4 linked regions of the Drosophila melanogaster genome follow. The protein of the gene in region 4 interacts with the protein of the main gene of each other region in a pairwise test. Each region holds a gene or a part of one and is shown on either strand. Other genes may lie near its edges.

Region 1 (5,693 bases), on a different chromosome or scaffold from region 4:
AACTCGAATGTGCCGCAGTTGGCAAAAAATGAACTTATACAGAAATTTTTGTGTGTTGGGTGATTTTGGTTTTATGGCCTTGGCTTCGTATTATTATCAAATAATGAGTTCGTTATCAAACTCGGTTGTTATAGAAATGATAACAGCACATATTCTTGTACAAAATTCTACCAAAACAAATGTCTAATAGCAAACGGTAGCCAATTCGATAAAGTTCACATAACACCAATAAAACTCAACCACCGTCGTTTATGGTCTGCGAAAAAATGGGTTATTATAATTTGTATTTGGTTTGATAAGAAAATAGAATACATATTAATGTAATTATTGATAATTATGATGTATATATAAAATACAACCCCTTTACGTGAAGGTTACGTTAGTTTTTGAGAACGATATCAATAGTTGTGACGATTTATTGGATATTGAATGAGGGCAAAGTCCATGACAAAAACTCTCTTCTGAAACTCGTGTTATCAGTGTGTGATTTTCATTTGTTTAGAAACAGATATGATTTGTAGTAGTCACACCATTTAAACATTTAATTTTGGTCCTACACTCATCGAGCCAAAAACATTACTCATAAGCGATAAGACCAATTGTAGCATATTGATTTCCATTTATGAGTGGAACTTCGCTTGAACATTTTATGAATCAGCAATAGAGGGGATGAGCTTCCTGTACACCTGAATTCCGTGCAGATATGTGTCGGCCCGCAAATATTCATCATGATTGTGCAGCAGCACCGGGGTGTTGTTGATGGGTGAAAATCCCAGAGCGGGAATTCCCACTTGCCGGACGTAGAAGCTATCGGTGGCGCCGGGGAAAACTCGTGTATGGGTGATCAAACCTCTGGAAAATTTCAACAAATTATGAAGTGAAAACTACACAATCTTTGTTTACCTACAGTTCATCTAGTCCCTTTTTGAAGCCCAGCCAGTAGGGATTGGAGTCGTCTATCTTGGTCACCACCGAGGGGCACTTCAGCGTGAAATCCAGTTCCACTCCACCACCGACTTCGTTGCACCACTCGCGAATCTGATTCTCCATTGCATCGGCATTCTGGTTGATGGCTATGCGAATATCAAAAGTGGCTTCTAGTACGGGGGGAACCACATTGCTTTGGACGCCACCGTTGAGTTGGGTCAGGTTCAAAGTGGTCACATCACCGGACTGCAAGGAGGAGTCCTCGGCCAGTAGCTTGACCTGGGTTTCTCGGAACTTCATCAGCTTATCCATCACAAAGTGAAACTTTTCGCCAGCCGTGCTTTTGTGCAGCAGCGATCCATGACCTGAAGTGCCACTGAATTTAAATCGAAGTTCTGCAGGGGTATAAAATGAATCAGAATATATTGCTACTGATGCAAATGGAAGACTTACGCCACAATGTACGCTCGGCGTAAAATACAGGATAAGTGTCATCTTCACTGGCGATGCCCTCGTCCAGGCTAAAGCCCACATTCATGGCTTTGAAGTAATCACCCTTGACGAATTCAGCCATGCCCATGTGTCCGCCAGTTTCCTCGTCGGGCACAAAAGTCAAATATACGGTCCTTTTTGGCTGATAGCCACTGGCTTTGAGTGCACGGACCGCAGCCATGTACTGACATCCCACGGACTTCATGTCCTGGGCACCGCGTGCATAAATCCGGCCTTGGGCGTCTATGTGGGCACCAAACGGCTCATGGGTCCACTTTTCGGGAAACACGGGCACCACGTCCATGTGTGAGTTCAATATAATGGATTTCAGCTCGGGATGCTTGCCCAGCCACTTCATAATCACCACCGGTTTCGAAGGCACAACAGGATACACCACGTCCACGCGGAGATTAAGTTTGTTAGCCTGGCGTTTTAGGAACTCCACGCATGCAGCTGCAAGGGAAATAGGGATAACAAAATCCAAGGAGCGGAAAAACAAATCCTTACTGTAGTCCACGTCTGGATGCACCGAGGGAATGCGCAAATACTCCTGGAAAATGATTATTTCCTCGTCGTTCTTCCATTGTTCCGTGCAAGTGCACATTTTGAGTTGAATGCCCCGTGGTTCTAAAGGAACTGACTTGTAATCCACCGTGCTGTTTGGTTTGAAGTCTGAGTGTGGATTGACTTAATGGCATTATCAGTTGTTGACTTTAAGCTACTTGATTAGAAGAGCCCACAATTTGCGGATTTTCATCTTTGCGCTAAGAGCTTAATGTTATCTAGCAAAGCCATAATAGTAAACCATAAACTTATTCATTTTCATTTAAATTTCCTTTTTTTGCTCACCATTAATGGTATGGACTATGGACTGGCTTATTTATTCATACATTGTTTATTTAAATGGGTTTTTATAAGCCTGCTTGTTTAAAGTTATTACAATAAACATCGACAAGTAAGCATTAAATGCATTATTTCATAATTGAATTGAGTTCGCTAAGCATCAGCTACGGCAGGAATGAGCTTCTTGTAAACCTCAATGCCGTGCAAATAGGTATCGGCTTTCAGGAATTCATCGTGGTCGTGCAGCAGGATGGGGGTGTTGTTAATGGGCGAGAATCCTAGAGCTGGAATGCCTGCGTAGCGAATATAACGACTGTCCGTGGCGCCGGGGAAAACACGAACCCGTGTCTTGAGGCCACTGAAAGAAACAAGGAGAAAGGATATCAGAGCCATGCCTTTTGTCAGAGCTTCTCATCCTTACAGGTCATCGAGTGCTTTCTTAAAGGCCAGCCAGTAGGCATTCGACGAGTCAATCTTTGTTGGCTCCACAAAGGGGTTTTTCATCTCAAACTCCAGTTCAATGCCGCCGCCAGCCTCCTCGCACCAGTCGCGAATCTGCTTCTCAAAGGCAGGGATATCCACGGTGACGGCAATGCGGATATCAAATACAGCTTCCAGCAATGGGGGAACCACGTTGCTCTGGACTCCGCCCCTCAGTTGGGTGAGATTCACAGTGGTCACATCACCAATTTCGAGGGATGAGTCGTCAGCTAGTTTTTGCACTTGCGATTTGCGGAACTCCATCATTTTGCCTACCACATAGTTCAGCTTCTCGCCAGCAGTATTCGGGAGCAACAGTGATCCGTGACCAGCAGTTCCGCTGATCTTGAAACGAAGATCTGCAGGAAAACATGGCTAGCTTAAATTGTTTGTATGAGTCAATCCTACTCACGCCAAAGAGTCCGTTCAGCGTAGTACAGAGCGTAGGTTTCATCCGCACTAGAGATTCCCTCGTCGAAACTGAATCCCACATTGAGCTTCTTGAAGTAGTCGCTCTTTACCAGCTCCCGCATGCCCAGGTGGCCGCCAACCTCCTCGTCCGGAACATAAGTGAGATAGATCGTCCTCTTGGGTTGATAGCCACTGGCCTTGAGGGCACGCACAGCTCCCAGATATTGGGTGCCCACGCACTTCATGTCCTGCGATCCGCGCGCAAAGATGCGACCCTCTGCATCTAGATCCGCGCTGAATGGACCGTGTGTCCACTTCTCCTCAAAAACGGGCACTACATCCGTGTGCGAATTGAGAATGATGGAGGGCAGTTCCGGCTGGGAACCCTGCCATTTTAGCACCACCACGGGATTCTGCTCGTTCACCGGATAGATAACCTCCACGGGCAGGTCCAAGCTGGCAGCCTGGCGTTTCAAGAATTCCGTGCAAACGGCTATAAATAGCAGACACATTTTATGGCAAGGTCATAAAGATCAGGGTACTCTTATCGCAGCCTCATAAAGATATACATGCCCATTGGAACTCACTGTAATCCACATTTGGATGCACCGTTGGTATGCGAAGATATTCGCGAAAGATCTTAATCTCCTCGTTGTTCTCCCACTTGGCTGTACTCATTTTGCACTCTATAAAATGTAAATAATTAGCCGGCTGATAACAAATCAATTAAATTGTTTGCTGAAATCAGCTGATCGACACTTCACCACAGCGGAGAGCAGACACACAACACACCTTTCGCAACACTGGCTCGACGACGACTGTGCGATCGTGGAGAGAAGCGCGCGTTTAAATATCAGCGATAAGCGAGCGAAAGAGAGGGCATGATAATAAATCCGAGAAGGAACTAAACCTAATTTCTTATCATACGGTGCTGCCTATAAACTGTTTTATCTTACGCATTTGTTTACTTTTTAGATGGCTAATCTACTTTTCAGTACAAATGACTTGCAGTTAACAATTGCTTCCGTCATTAATAATATTCGTGTCTTCCCATTTCTATATGAGAAACTAATTTGATGAATTTAATATCCAGCACTCAAAAATTCAATTGATTACAAAAGAGACATCCCCTAATAGTAATTTCTATCTTGTACTGCATTATTTATAAATTAAACTGAATTTTGCAGCTCATAGCACAAGGAGTGGAACTCTATTTCTGTACCATCCCAATTGGTAGGGATTCCACTCCATGTATTGGTGAACATTCTTCCATCACTTTCCGGTACATATGAACCCACTTTAAGGCTCATTTACTTGGGATTCCCCCTGGCTGATGGATTTATTTGCCTTAAATGGAGGCGAAGGTGCTTCGCATTGCTTTGGGGGTAACAGGACTGCAGGATTGCTGGATTGATGGTGACCCCATTTGGCCCGCAGCCAAGATTTCCGATTACTGATGAATCGCATGCAATCGCATTCCAATTCCAGTTGATTTGTTAATCAAGATGCACTGCACACGTTCGCACCACACGCCCAGTGGGCTTCCGGGTAAACAAGTTGCCCCTCCTCGGGCCTTTCAGCCACTCGAATCCAATTCAAATTTCGCATATTAATAGTGTTCCTGCTGCACTTGCCGACTTTGCTGCACTGCGTCTGTTGTCCCAGTAGTGTGTCAAAAGTTAGTTTCGCATTTAGATTTCACGCTTGTTCCCATACAGAAAAAAAGGTGGTTGGGCCAAAAAAAATACACAAAACCAAAGCCCTCTGATTTGTGTCGCATACACACCCTGCTAGGCCAAAGTTGATATTGTTTTAGTGTGTGTACTCACAAAAAGTCATTAAAAGTTCATTAACAATGTTGCTGGGATTTTAATGGCGCACCAGCAGCAATAGCAGCAACTACAGGCTACACATGTCTGCATTTTAAATAACATCCAAGCCCCACATTCGTACAAACTCGTACTCTCCCCATTTACAGCGTCACATAAGTCAAATAAATACACAAGTTTCCTGCGCACAAACACTCGTTCAGCTGCACAATGGGCCAAAATGGCAAGTTTTTGGCATAATTCGAATGTAATGTCCCTAGAATAGAGTCTATAAGTCTGTACAGAGGCTAAAGTAGTTCATTCTTAGTCGAGTAAAACACGAATCTACTTATCTGATGCCAAATTATTCACTTTTCGCCCATGGTGGTGACTTGGGGGCGCGCCTGTTTGTTGTTTGCTGATGTTGCTGCTGAGCTGACATGTTGTCGCTGGGCAAATAAACTAAATGAAAATTTTGTATATTGTAACAATTATCCGGGCAACGCCGGAAACTGTTTGCGTTGAGCACCCAAAACCTGCAGAACTGCAGAGATGGAACCCCGAGGATATCGCCTAATCCGTTATGGGCGCATTACCTGGCCAAAAAAAGCAAAAAAAAAAAATAAAAGCGAGAGAACTGATATAATCCTCCTCTGCCATTTACCATTTACCATATCCCTCGGCCCAGAGCGTACATTTCCTTTTGTTCGAGCTTTTTTCAGAGCCCATGGC
Region 2 (3,599 bases), about 13 Mb from region 4:
GGGAGGGGATGGGCAGTGAGGAGCAGATCCCCCGGACGGAGTCTCCAGGCAGTGGCATCTGCAACATTTGTTGATGACAACCCAAAGACACGGAGTGCAACATTTCGGCGAACATTTCGTTGGCCGTATTTTGTGTGCGGCACGCCCATTTGGGGAAAGTCATTGCGAGCTTAGAAGTTATTATTTTGATTTATAGGAAAAGTTCGTTTAGCGAGCGAAAGTTGCTCGTATATTTTCCGCAGTGGAGGATGGAAGAGAGGGGAGTTTGAGGAGTGAAAAAAATTAGATAGAAGCACAGCTTTTAAAGTGTGGCGAGTGCGGGGCGAAAGGCATTTGTATGTATGCAGCTCTTGTTTTCATTATTAGTGGCTAAAACTTTGAAATGTATCTGTATGTGTGCTTTTAGAACTGAAGAGGATTAGATAGAACAATCCAGCATACGGTTCGGAAAACTATTCTCACGATAAATTCCGGACTTCTTCACTGCCACAAATTCCCATTACCATAAACACTAACACTTTATACGTTTTGCACGACAGAAGTTTTACTTCCACAGAAATTTTTGCTAATGTTGCTCCAATAATTTCCAAATTTTCATACCGTTGCCAGCTTAGTCTGCAAATTGTCTGCTGTGATATTCTTCTTCGTCCAGCCACTGGAACAGGGCTTATCATTGTCGGGATCGCCTACGTTTCCTACATCCTTCTCGTTCCCCGGACACCCAGATGCGCAATACGAGTCATGGAGATCGGAGCAGTCCGTATTGCAGATATTTCGCCAGCCCTCCGAATGAATGTGGTAGAGACGCACGATTCCACCAGAATAGGCATCCTTACTGGTCGCATGGTAAATCGCTCGCCTGGCCAGGTCATAGGCCTCCTGATCGGAGAGATCATAGCGGTACCCAGTGTCCAATACGCCGAGCGCATATGGAGAACCGCTGCCCACGGAGAAGACTTGACCATGGGATCTCATGCCCTCCGAGTCCACGTAAATCAGCTTGGGTCCCTCGTCGTCGAAGCCGGCCAGCATCATGCCCATCACCAGACCCATGCCCTTGTACTCCGTGGATATGTTGCAGATGATCCGGGCAGCCGTGTCCACGGTCATGCGTTTCCGATAGCGCAGCTGGTGCAGGCGACACTCCTTAGCCAAAACCCGATCCCAGTAGACGCAATCGGCGGCTCCGCCGGCCAATGTGCCCAGCATATAGTCGTTCAGCTCGACTATTTTCCTCATCGTCTGGGATCCAATATACTGGCCAGAGGTGGCCCTAGAATCAGCACACAGAATCACTCCTCCGCGATACTTGAAACCCAGAGTGGTGGTGCCGTGATCGAAATCCATGCGAATGCCACAGTGCGACAGGATCTTGGGCAGATTTTCAGCGGGCTTGAGAAGAGTTTCAATCTTAGATGGATCTTTTGGATTATGAAACCTATACTAACTCTTTCGAAGGGAGGCGCCATCAGTTCGTAGGGATTCTCAAAATTACTGGTTGCCTCGCGAAGCTGCTCCTTCTGCCATTCGGACTGCAAGTCATCGAAGCGCCGCATAAAAGGCATTTTATTCATGCCGCAAATCGCTTCCAGAGCCATTATGTGTTCAAAAAGAGTTTATTATTTCCAATAAATAGTTTAGTGTAATGTGTAAATGAGCACACTAAACGAGCTCGAATGATTGTGGAGTTAAGTCTCTAAGGCATCTTACAAGTGTATCAAAAATGTACTTTAATCAAAACAAGATCACAAGATCAGAAAGCTGGACATCTTGTTCCCATCAAAATATCGCATTCCGCTTGAAAGTTTCGCTCCACTGGACAATCCGCAGCGGCAATTCGCAGTCTCCGATTCCATTGGCATTTCATGGTTAGTGGGTGAGAGTGGTCGCAGCGGCACTTTCGCCGGCCACCCAAGTGGAATCCAATGGACCTTCTGTGGGCAGTGGCAGTGGCAGTGGCAGTGGCGCCACCGCAGAGATACACGACATTTTAATTGGACTGCCGGGCAGGGTCATCATCGCCACCTGCCGAGATGCGAAATTGGGACCAAAACGAGTGGGGAATGGCATAGAAGGTGCTTTCGCAGTGACCACGCCCACTCGCAGGCGGTGGCAAACGGATTAGCCGCTAATTAAAGGCCAATTGGCAATGTTTGCCAAACTGTTTGAGTCCGCGGGTCGACTGGCCTGATACCCCCCGTGATATATGTCCCATCCCAGTGGCAGTCGCAGTCACTCCGGCTGCTCCCACTGCCTCCATTAGTGGACGCCATGTGTCACTGATCTAAATTTATGCAAATTGCCGAGGACTTGGCCTCCGCATTCCCCAAACCACCGAATTCCATTTCCCATTCCCCATTCCGCATCTCCCATCCGCCACATTGGCACATTTCATTTTTGCACGCGCTTTCCATTGCAGCCTGCATTCCCCCCGCCCTTCGAATGGAAAACTAAGGGGGCGGAAGCAATTCGGAGAAAGGCGGGCTGGAAAGGAAAAATCGAGGCAAAAGAAACGAGCTGGCTAAGCCCTTCATCCAAACATACCCTAACTATGAGTACATGAAACCACTCACTGTTATTTTATTGGTCACGAAGCATAATAGTTTACTGGACTATCTAAATGTTAAGTCTAAGTATTAGTATTAAGTATTATTTAAGTATCCAATTGGATACTTAAGGTTTGTCGGTATATTTTGTATATATTTATTATATAAACTTTAGATTGCTGTAGGGTATTCAGCTTATCAACAAATATGACAATTCTTTCGCAGCGCTGCAGTTGCTGGATAGTTTTGACAGCCAGCTCTGATTATTAAATCACAGGGCAGGGACAAACTGGAGCCGGGGCAGCAATCTGATATGCAAAATCTCGTCTAACCCAGACGATGCTACTCCACCAGCTCCTCCTGGCCACCATCATCCTGCATCCCGAATCCCCATTTCCCCCTCCCTGCCCTGCGCGGCATCTGTCCTGCGTTAATTACAGCCCAGTTTTGTGCACTGGCAACAACTTGTTAAAAATTTCCGCTGCCAGTTTATTAGAGGGCAACTAACTAAGGCAGCGTAGTGGAAGAATCTGGCCATTCCCTTCGCTTTTGGCCTGAAGTGGCTGGCAGATTACTCAGTCTGAACCTGTTTTAATGACTAAAATGACGCCAAGTCAAGAGCGAATAAGAGATTAGGCCAAACTTGAGCTTCCCGTCTGCGAATCGTTGCAGCGCTGGACCAAGAGCACGATTTTGTGGCATCGGATTTAGTTGAGAGCCAAAATAATAGCCTTTTATTCGGTGCATAGTTCTTAATTATTTACAATTTGAAATCACATGAGCCTTATTATACAATAGATGAACTATGCAAGATGAGCGAGTTGCTTAATAGACACTAAACATTGAATAACTTTGCTCTCAATCCACTTAGGCAACTTTGCTGAGTAATAAAAAATAAACCACCTTGTTGACAAGCTTAGGAATATTCCCCGAATCTTTTCAAAGAGTTTCTTTTTAAGCTCTCGAATTACAAAAACGAAACTCCGCCGAGAATTGTTAAAATAAAATTCAACTAAGGCGCACGTAAGCAAAAAGCGTTTTAGGGACTTTCGC
Region 3 (3,461 bases), on a different chromosome or scaffold from region 4:
TGGGCACAAACGATTGTGCTTCGGTGATGTTCGAGTTCGTCGGCCACCCGGAGTACGTGCGTCCTGGAATGCGCATCCTGTTCCGCGAGGGCACCAGCAAAGGAATCGGAGTTGTCACGCAGGTGTTTCCGGTCAACAAGACAGGCATAAAGTAGAGAAGCGGGCCAGATGGATAGTTCCAATGACATATCTATATATCTCAAACAAAGATGACATGTACATATACTTAATTAGCAATTAGAGGGAGGCGTTAAATCTTAGGCAGATCTTCTGTACACTTAGTTTCGGGTTCTGTGATTTTTCGTTTAAGCTCGGCTCACAATCGGATGTTGTGAGTAATCCTTCTCAATTAACCTTATTTCATTAAAATCCACCCCAAAATGCATACAATGTTGCTTTCAATTCGCGTCCGAGCCAAAGAGTATAAATAATTACCGAAGTATTAATTTTTTTCCTTCTAGCAGATGTACATATATATGTACATATGATCAAAACCGACTAACTTTAAGCAACATTTACCATCAATTCTATGGTATACAAAGACGAAAAAGTGCTCAACAATTTGTTTATTTCTGTCTACTGCTAATGTGCTCATCTTGACTACTGTTATCACTTGTTGCCGGGACACTGGCGCCACCTTCAATTTCCTCCGCCTTGGCTGGCACTTCGGATGTGAACCGGAAGAGGACGGGCACCTCTCCTATGGAGGGATTTCCGTTCGCTTCCAACAGGCGAATCCACGAGAGCAATGAGTCCTTTGTGGAGGTGCCTGTGGCACAGATGGCCATAATGGTTCCGTCGTCCTGTTGGTGGACAGAGCGCAGCTTTCCCAGCTGGTTGTGTCGCCTTGGTGGAGCACGACCAAAGAAGGGTACTTCGATGTGGGAGACATCGTCCTCGTCCAGCTGCCGCTCATCTAATTCAGACAGGAACTCAGAATCTGCATCAGCGCGCAGGGTAAAGTAGTTGATCCGGCGATTCCTAAGCCATATGTGAAAGGGTCCCTCGATGTACAGAGCTTTCTGGCGAGAGTGCTCCCGCAGCAGTTTCTCCTGCTCGGGACTCATTCCGCTCACGATCCACGTATCGTCAATGGCATCCTTCAGCTCGCTGGTCTCGAAAACCGTGATTTTGGACCGCAGGTCGACCGTGCACATCCGCTCTAGCGCCAGCTTGGCCATTTCCAATGTATCATCCGGAACAGGATCGGGCAGTGGCCACGGTGATAGGTTCTTAAACTTTGGCATCCAGTACATCATGCGCCAATACTTGCGCAGTGGATGTCCCTGCCTGCCAAACACATTAAGCAGCATCGCCTCCATCTCGTGATCGGGCATCACCCCGCAATCTTCCATCTGCTCAAGCAGATCAATGATACACTGCTGCTGTTTGGGGTAGTGCATGAACTCTGCCTGGAACATGTTGGTGGGTATGAACTTGCCCTTGGGCATCACGTTGATCAGGGCCTTGTAGACCTCCAAGTCTCTTTCCACCCCGAAATCCGCCATATTCTTGAGTGCCGCGTAGATGAACTCCACATGGTTCCGACGGTGGACGTCGCGCTCCTGGAATATCTCCACCATGGTCAGGTAGCTGTTTTTCGTCCTGTCCTGGGCGGCGGCAAAGGGGTTCCTTAAAGCCGGCAGGTTTTTGGTGCCGGGTTTTTGTGCCCTGGGATTTGGATTCGGGTTCTGTTTCGGATTTCCCTCGTCCGTAGCGTAGTTTCGAAAGCGGCTGACCAGCGAATGGCCTCCATTGCCGTGCAGCCGGAGCAGGCATTGTGCGCGGCGCAGCATTTTTTATTTATAATTAATTAATTGAATAAATTTGCAAATACGATTACAAAACATTGCACAAGCTGCGGAACTAGTTCGCGTTTTGCAGCACTGCTGCTGCAACATATGTTTTAATAGTGCCGATAGTCTAGCGTATTTAGCCAAATTTGGTAAATTCTAGGGCGAAAAATTGTATTTAGTTTCGGCTGTACCCAAAGATTTTCAAGCTTAAATAGTGTCATGACCGTAATACACGCTTAAAGTCATACGCTAGTAACAAAAGTTGAAGTGAATATTGCATAAGCTCATTGTGACTACCTTCACGAATCTCTTCCTTCGGAGAACAGCTGTTTGTCTGGCTTAGGGCCATCATCACTGGTGACTGAGTTGCTCAACACTGTATTAACTCAGTGTATCCTTTGTGCTGCTTTTTGTTGTTATTTCACCGTTTTCTGCGTTATCCTTATTCGCATAGTTTTCGGTTGTTTTTCTGTTGTTTAAGTTAGTTCCGAACCCTGAGTTATTTGCACGGGCGCGCGCCTACATAAAAATGCAATCCAACAAGCCGATCTCTGCGGCGGAGGCCTGACCAGCAGGCAGTATCTATAACAGAAGCAAAACAATAGACTTTGGCTTGGTCCCAAGGAGCACCCACCAGCCCAACGTTATTCGAGACTTCCAGCCGCCAAGGATGCACTGAAGGGAAGCGGAAACCCAAGGAGCATTTGATGTTCCCGCAATGCGAAGAGGGTAAAGAGGATTCGGGCATCACATTCTACTGACATGTTGTGCTTCGACTCGGAGAGGATGAACTGGTACTACCACGTCCTGGCCAGGCGTCCCTACCTGGTGGTCGTCTCCATTGCTGTCTACTGTGTCGCTTGCATCATCGTGGCCCTCGTCCTGAACAAGCTGCCGGACTTCAGTGATCCCACCTTGGTTTGTCCTATTAGATTTGTCCAAAACATGTTCACTGCTTGATATTTGGAGAATATATCTTATCTTATTTTACAATTATTTTTTAAAATATTGAGCACATGGAAATAATCCGAAAATGTCTAAATGATATTATTTTATTTAAATTTCGTTATATATCTATTTTTTTTAAATATTAAGAAGTTAAAATATTTTAAATATTCACAGAATTGCTATAAGAAACTACAGGATTACTTGTATACAAACTATTCCTGTATTATATTTTCATTGTTATTATGTTATTGTTGTAAAAATTGTGGAAAATAATAAGATTAATTTCTCACTAATATGACTTATTTGATCACTTTATAATGTGATTATTTGTCATGATTAATATTTATGATTCAACATTTATTTCACTTTAGGGCTTCGAAACCCGCGGCACCAAAATTGGAGAACGACTGACGGCCTGGTACAACCTGCTGCAAGAGACTGACCACCATGGTGCTCTTTTCTCAAATCCATCGGATCTGTGGGAGAGGAGACGGGTAGAGCAGGGCTATGTGGAGACGAAGCTGCATCCGAATCACAGGCGACGCAAAAACAAGCACAAGAACAGAAACAAGAACAAGCGACGCAAGGAACAAAATCAAAGCAGCCACGAGCATCACGATGTGGCGCAGAAGATGATGCAGTTCAAAAAACGGCTGAAGGCTACTAGTTCTCCCTCTCCAAATCTCGGCTTTGACACCTGGATCGGGGACAGTGGAG
Region 4 (3,017 bases):
CACGCACTCACACGGCCGACGTAAGAGCGCACGTTTTCGCAGGTTTTTAGTGTATATAATTAATTTGTCAGCGTGTTTTCGACCTGATCTTGTGCATTCGGCTAGTTCGCGATTAAGAGTCTGCGTTTCGAAATCAATGCGATCGATTCAAAGTCTGATCAGATCGGTCCAATCGGAGCCTACGACGAAACAAGTCAACAACGGCGGAGCGCTACAACAAATGTGCTGCGGGAGCTTTGAGCGGATGGGTCACACTCAGCCAGCAGCATGGTCACACCTGGCGATGGCAGTTTGGAGATATATCGATTGTGGTTCCTATGCGATACTTTCCTGGCGCCAGCTTAAAAAATTAAAATCTTTAATTTAAAAAATTTCCAGGCAAATGCACTAGTTTTTATAGGCAACTAAGCGGAATCTAAAGCCATTTAACTGCCAATTTGTATACCATATGTATTGGACTGCAATGAATTTAGTAGCAAATAAACAACATATGTAAGGTTATTAATACAAAATTGTTTACTTTATATACCTCGCTAATGCGGATCTTTTTTTGGGTCATGTTGCATTCAAGGTTTAGGTCACTAAAATTTACTTAAATGAAGATTTTCACAGTAATGGGAGATTTGCTTTCAGAGCGTCGAACTCCTTCTTTTCTAAGGGCTTAAGATGTGTACCCGAGAAGGGCGATTTGAACTCCAAATCGCGATGTTTGTTCACCAGAACTTTCTGATCTGAGTATATCAGATTGATTTGCTGTTCTATTTTCTGTTGATCTGTCAGAAATTATAGTTAATAATAGCATGTAGTGGACGAGCAGTTACCCACCTTTTTTGAGCAGTTCCAATGCCTTTTCCCGCTCCATTTTGACTAGCATACTGCCAATAGTGATCCAAACTTTCTTGTCCTCCGACTTCTCCATCAGCCGCATTGCCTGCCGGGTTTCTTGGCGGCGTTTATCCATTACCGTCAGTTCCTGCTTGTTGACCAGAATTTTGTCGGCCAACTCCTCGGTCTTGGTTATTATCTCAATACTTTTGTTCAGATCTGTTTGCGACATTTTGCAAATGATATTTCTTCAAACAGATTTGCTAAAAACACGGAAGTAAACAAAAGTGAAGAAGTGAGACCCGAAAACGTACTAACGCCTCTTAAACAGCTGTTCGATCAGGGGCGCATCATAGAAGAGGGATTCATTTTACATGCTAACTGTATGAGGAAACATTTAACTGTTAACCTGTTAATATTCTTCCTATTGTAAGAAACCACCGCTTGCATTTCAATTTAATCAGTTTTGACGTATTGATAATTCATTCATTCAAAATATCAATAGAGCGCTTGTAACCAAATATGGTTACATTATAGCACAGCATAACTGCATAACATTGAGCCCCTGTAAACACACATTCTACCTGCGCCGCTGAACAAATAACATCTCAATCGCAAGCAAAGATGGCCGCGTCATAAGTTGATTTGTAGTTCCAAAACGAGACGAGACGTTTGTTTACGAGCACAACTACGCCGGACTGGATCTCCGCCAGCATTCGGGCAGCTATATATATACATTCGAAGGGACACCAAAGCAATGAAATCCACCGACAGCGCCAAGTGCCTGGGCAGCAAGTCCTTGGCAATCTGTTGCCTGCTCCTCCACCTCCTACTCTGCATTAGACCAGCAGTGTCGCAGGTAAATCCCGAGCGATAAACAAAGCATTTCCAGGTTGAGGAGTTTACAAGTCCCAAGTCGCTGCTTGACCCAAGGAAACATATGTTTGCAGTGCGCGCACATATGTTTAGCATATTGATTTTGCAGTAGTGTGTACTTCGCATGTGTGCGTGGGCGCCGTGCTCCGTGGCAATTATTTTGCTTCACCTAGAGGCTTAATCTTAATCTCAATCCCCCATTTCAGACTCAAAGTCCACAGCGTTATCTGCATAATGTGGACAGCAATAGCAACAACAACGAACGCCTGCACCAGATACTCAAGGGATCCGGAGCAGGATCGGGAGCCACGCAGCTCAACTGGCCACAGCCTCCGAAGCAAACTGTCCCCAACGTCAAGACTGAGCTGGCCAAGCTAAACAACAGTGAGTTGGCGTATTTTTACAAATGCACACCGTGTAATTCACTAAAACTCGATCCCCAGCTTACGTTTACCAGAACGCCTGGCCGGCAAACAATGTGAAACTGGGTGCAGTGACAGCTGTAAGTTTCGACAAGGCCGGCAACGTGGTAATCTTCCATCGCGTGAATCGCGTCTGGGGACAGACCACATTTGATAACAGGAACCAGTACCAGGAGAAGTACCGCGGGCCCATCAGGGAGAGCACCATCCTGGCACTGGAGCCCGCAACAGGCAAAGTGCAATACGACTGGGGCAAGAACTTGTAAGAAATTGTAACTCCCTTGTTCGGTACTTTAGGTAGCTCTATCCAGTGCTTATTTAATTGCAAATACTAGTTTGCAGGTTAGCAAAGTGTGTATTGCATTCGTTGAAATCTAATCTAGGCACAGGTAGAAGGAAGCATTTCTTCCGAGTCCATGTGGCCATTTCCGTCTGTCCGATCAATATGCCACAAACATTTAAGCCCTGCCCACAATTCCACCGAACCCCCACTAGTTGAGTATCGGGTAACTGATTGTCTAGGATATCGTTCTTTATTTTTCTCAGTACTCATTTATGGCCGCGCTGTTTTGTGTTTGTATAATACCTACTTCATTTTTCGTTTAAATTATCTGGTGAAGTTAAATTAAATCGGTAGTAAAAGCATTTTGCATTTGTAAGTTCAAAAGTTCTAACACATAGTCAAAAGTATTTTGTAAGATTTTAATTTCGGCTGTGAAATTCTGAAGGCATATCTAAATTTAAGTAATCACTAGAATAGCAATGTACTTCTACAGCCTTATAAGTATGCCCTTCCTAATTAAATCCCATCTCACACACAGTTTTTACATGCCACATGGCCTGACCGTGGACCCCGAAGACAACGTTTGGTTAACAGACGTCGCCATGCACCAG

The links.
Region 1: the proteins of Pdrg1 (region 4) and CG6726 interact in a two-hybrid assay, tested with the Drosophila melanogaster proteins (one large-scale study listed by BioGRID).
Region 2: the proteins of Pdrg1 (region 4) and Prosbeta5R1 interact in a two-hybrid assay, tested with the Drosophila melanogaster proteins (one large-scale study listed by BioGRID).
Region 3: the proteins of Pdrg1 (region 4) and ECSIT interact in a two-hybrid assay, tested with the Drosophila melanogaster proteins (one large-scale study listed by BioGRID).

Annotation. Positions count from the first base shown.
Region 1 is NT_033777.3:23,090,009-23,095,701, reverse strand, and holds CG6726 (uncharacterized protein), read right to left. Parts: upstream 3,979-5,693; 5' UTR 3,946-3,978; intron 3,926-3,945; exon of another isoform or gene 3,840-3,925; 5' UTR 3,832-3,839; coding exon 3,741-3,831; intron 3,647-3,740; coding exon 3,155-3,646; intron 3,102-3,154; coding exon 2,684-3,101; intron 2,621-2,683; coding exon 2,416-2,620; 3' UTR 2,269-2,415; exon of another isoform or gene 2,243-2,268; intron 2,205-2,242; exon of another isoform or gene 2,202-2,204; 3' UTR 2,024-2,201; coding exon of another isoform or gene 1,927-2,023; intron 1,873-1,926; coding exon of another isoform or gene 1,381-1,872; intron 1,323-1,380; coding exon of another isoform or gene 908-1,322; intron 853-907; coding exon of another isoform or gene 648-852; 3' UTR 518-647; downstream 1-517. Other genes in the region: CG17110 (uncharacterized protein), read right to left, coding at 648-852, 908-1,322, 1,381-1,872, 1,927-2,023.
Region 2 is NT_033778.4:23,308,131-23,311,729, forward strand, and holds Prosbeta5R1 (proteasome beta5 subunit-related 1), read right to left. Parts: upstream 1,687-3,599; 5' UTR 1,599-1,686; coding exon 1,449-1,598; intron 1,393-1,448; coding exon 595-1,392; 3' UTR 524-594; downstream 1-523.
Region 3 is NT_033777.3:5,855,006-5,858,466, reverse strand, and holds ECSIT (ECSIT), read right to left. Parts: upstream 1,883-3,461; 5' UTR 1,797-1,882; coding exon 567-1,796; 3' UTR 553-566; downstream 1-552. Other genes in the region: CG2017 (uncharacterized protein), read left to right, coding at 1-155; disp (dispatched), read left to right, coding at 2,559-2,714, 3,116-3,461. UniProt on the Drosophila melanogaster protein: As part of the MCIA complex, involved in the assembly of the mitochondrial complex I. Involved in the innate immune response; promotes the production of antibacterial peptides.
Region 4 is NT_033778.4:9,958,619-9,961,635, forward strand, and holds Pdrg1 (Pdrg1 prefoldin-like subunit), read right to left. Parts: upstream 1,115-3,017; 5' UTR 1,058-1,114; coding exon 826-1,057; intron 774-825; coding exon 607-773; 3' UTR 501-606; downstream 1-500. Other genes in the region: Pal1 (Peptidyl-alpha-hydroxyglycine-alpha-amidating lyase 1), read left to right, coding at 1,583-1,684, 1,908-2,085, 2,145-2,385, 2,945-3,017.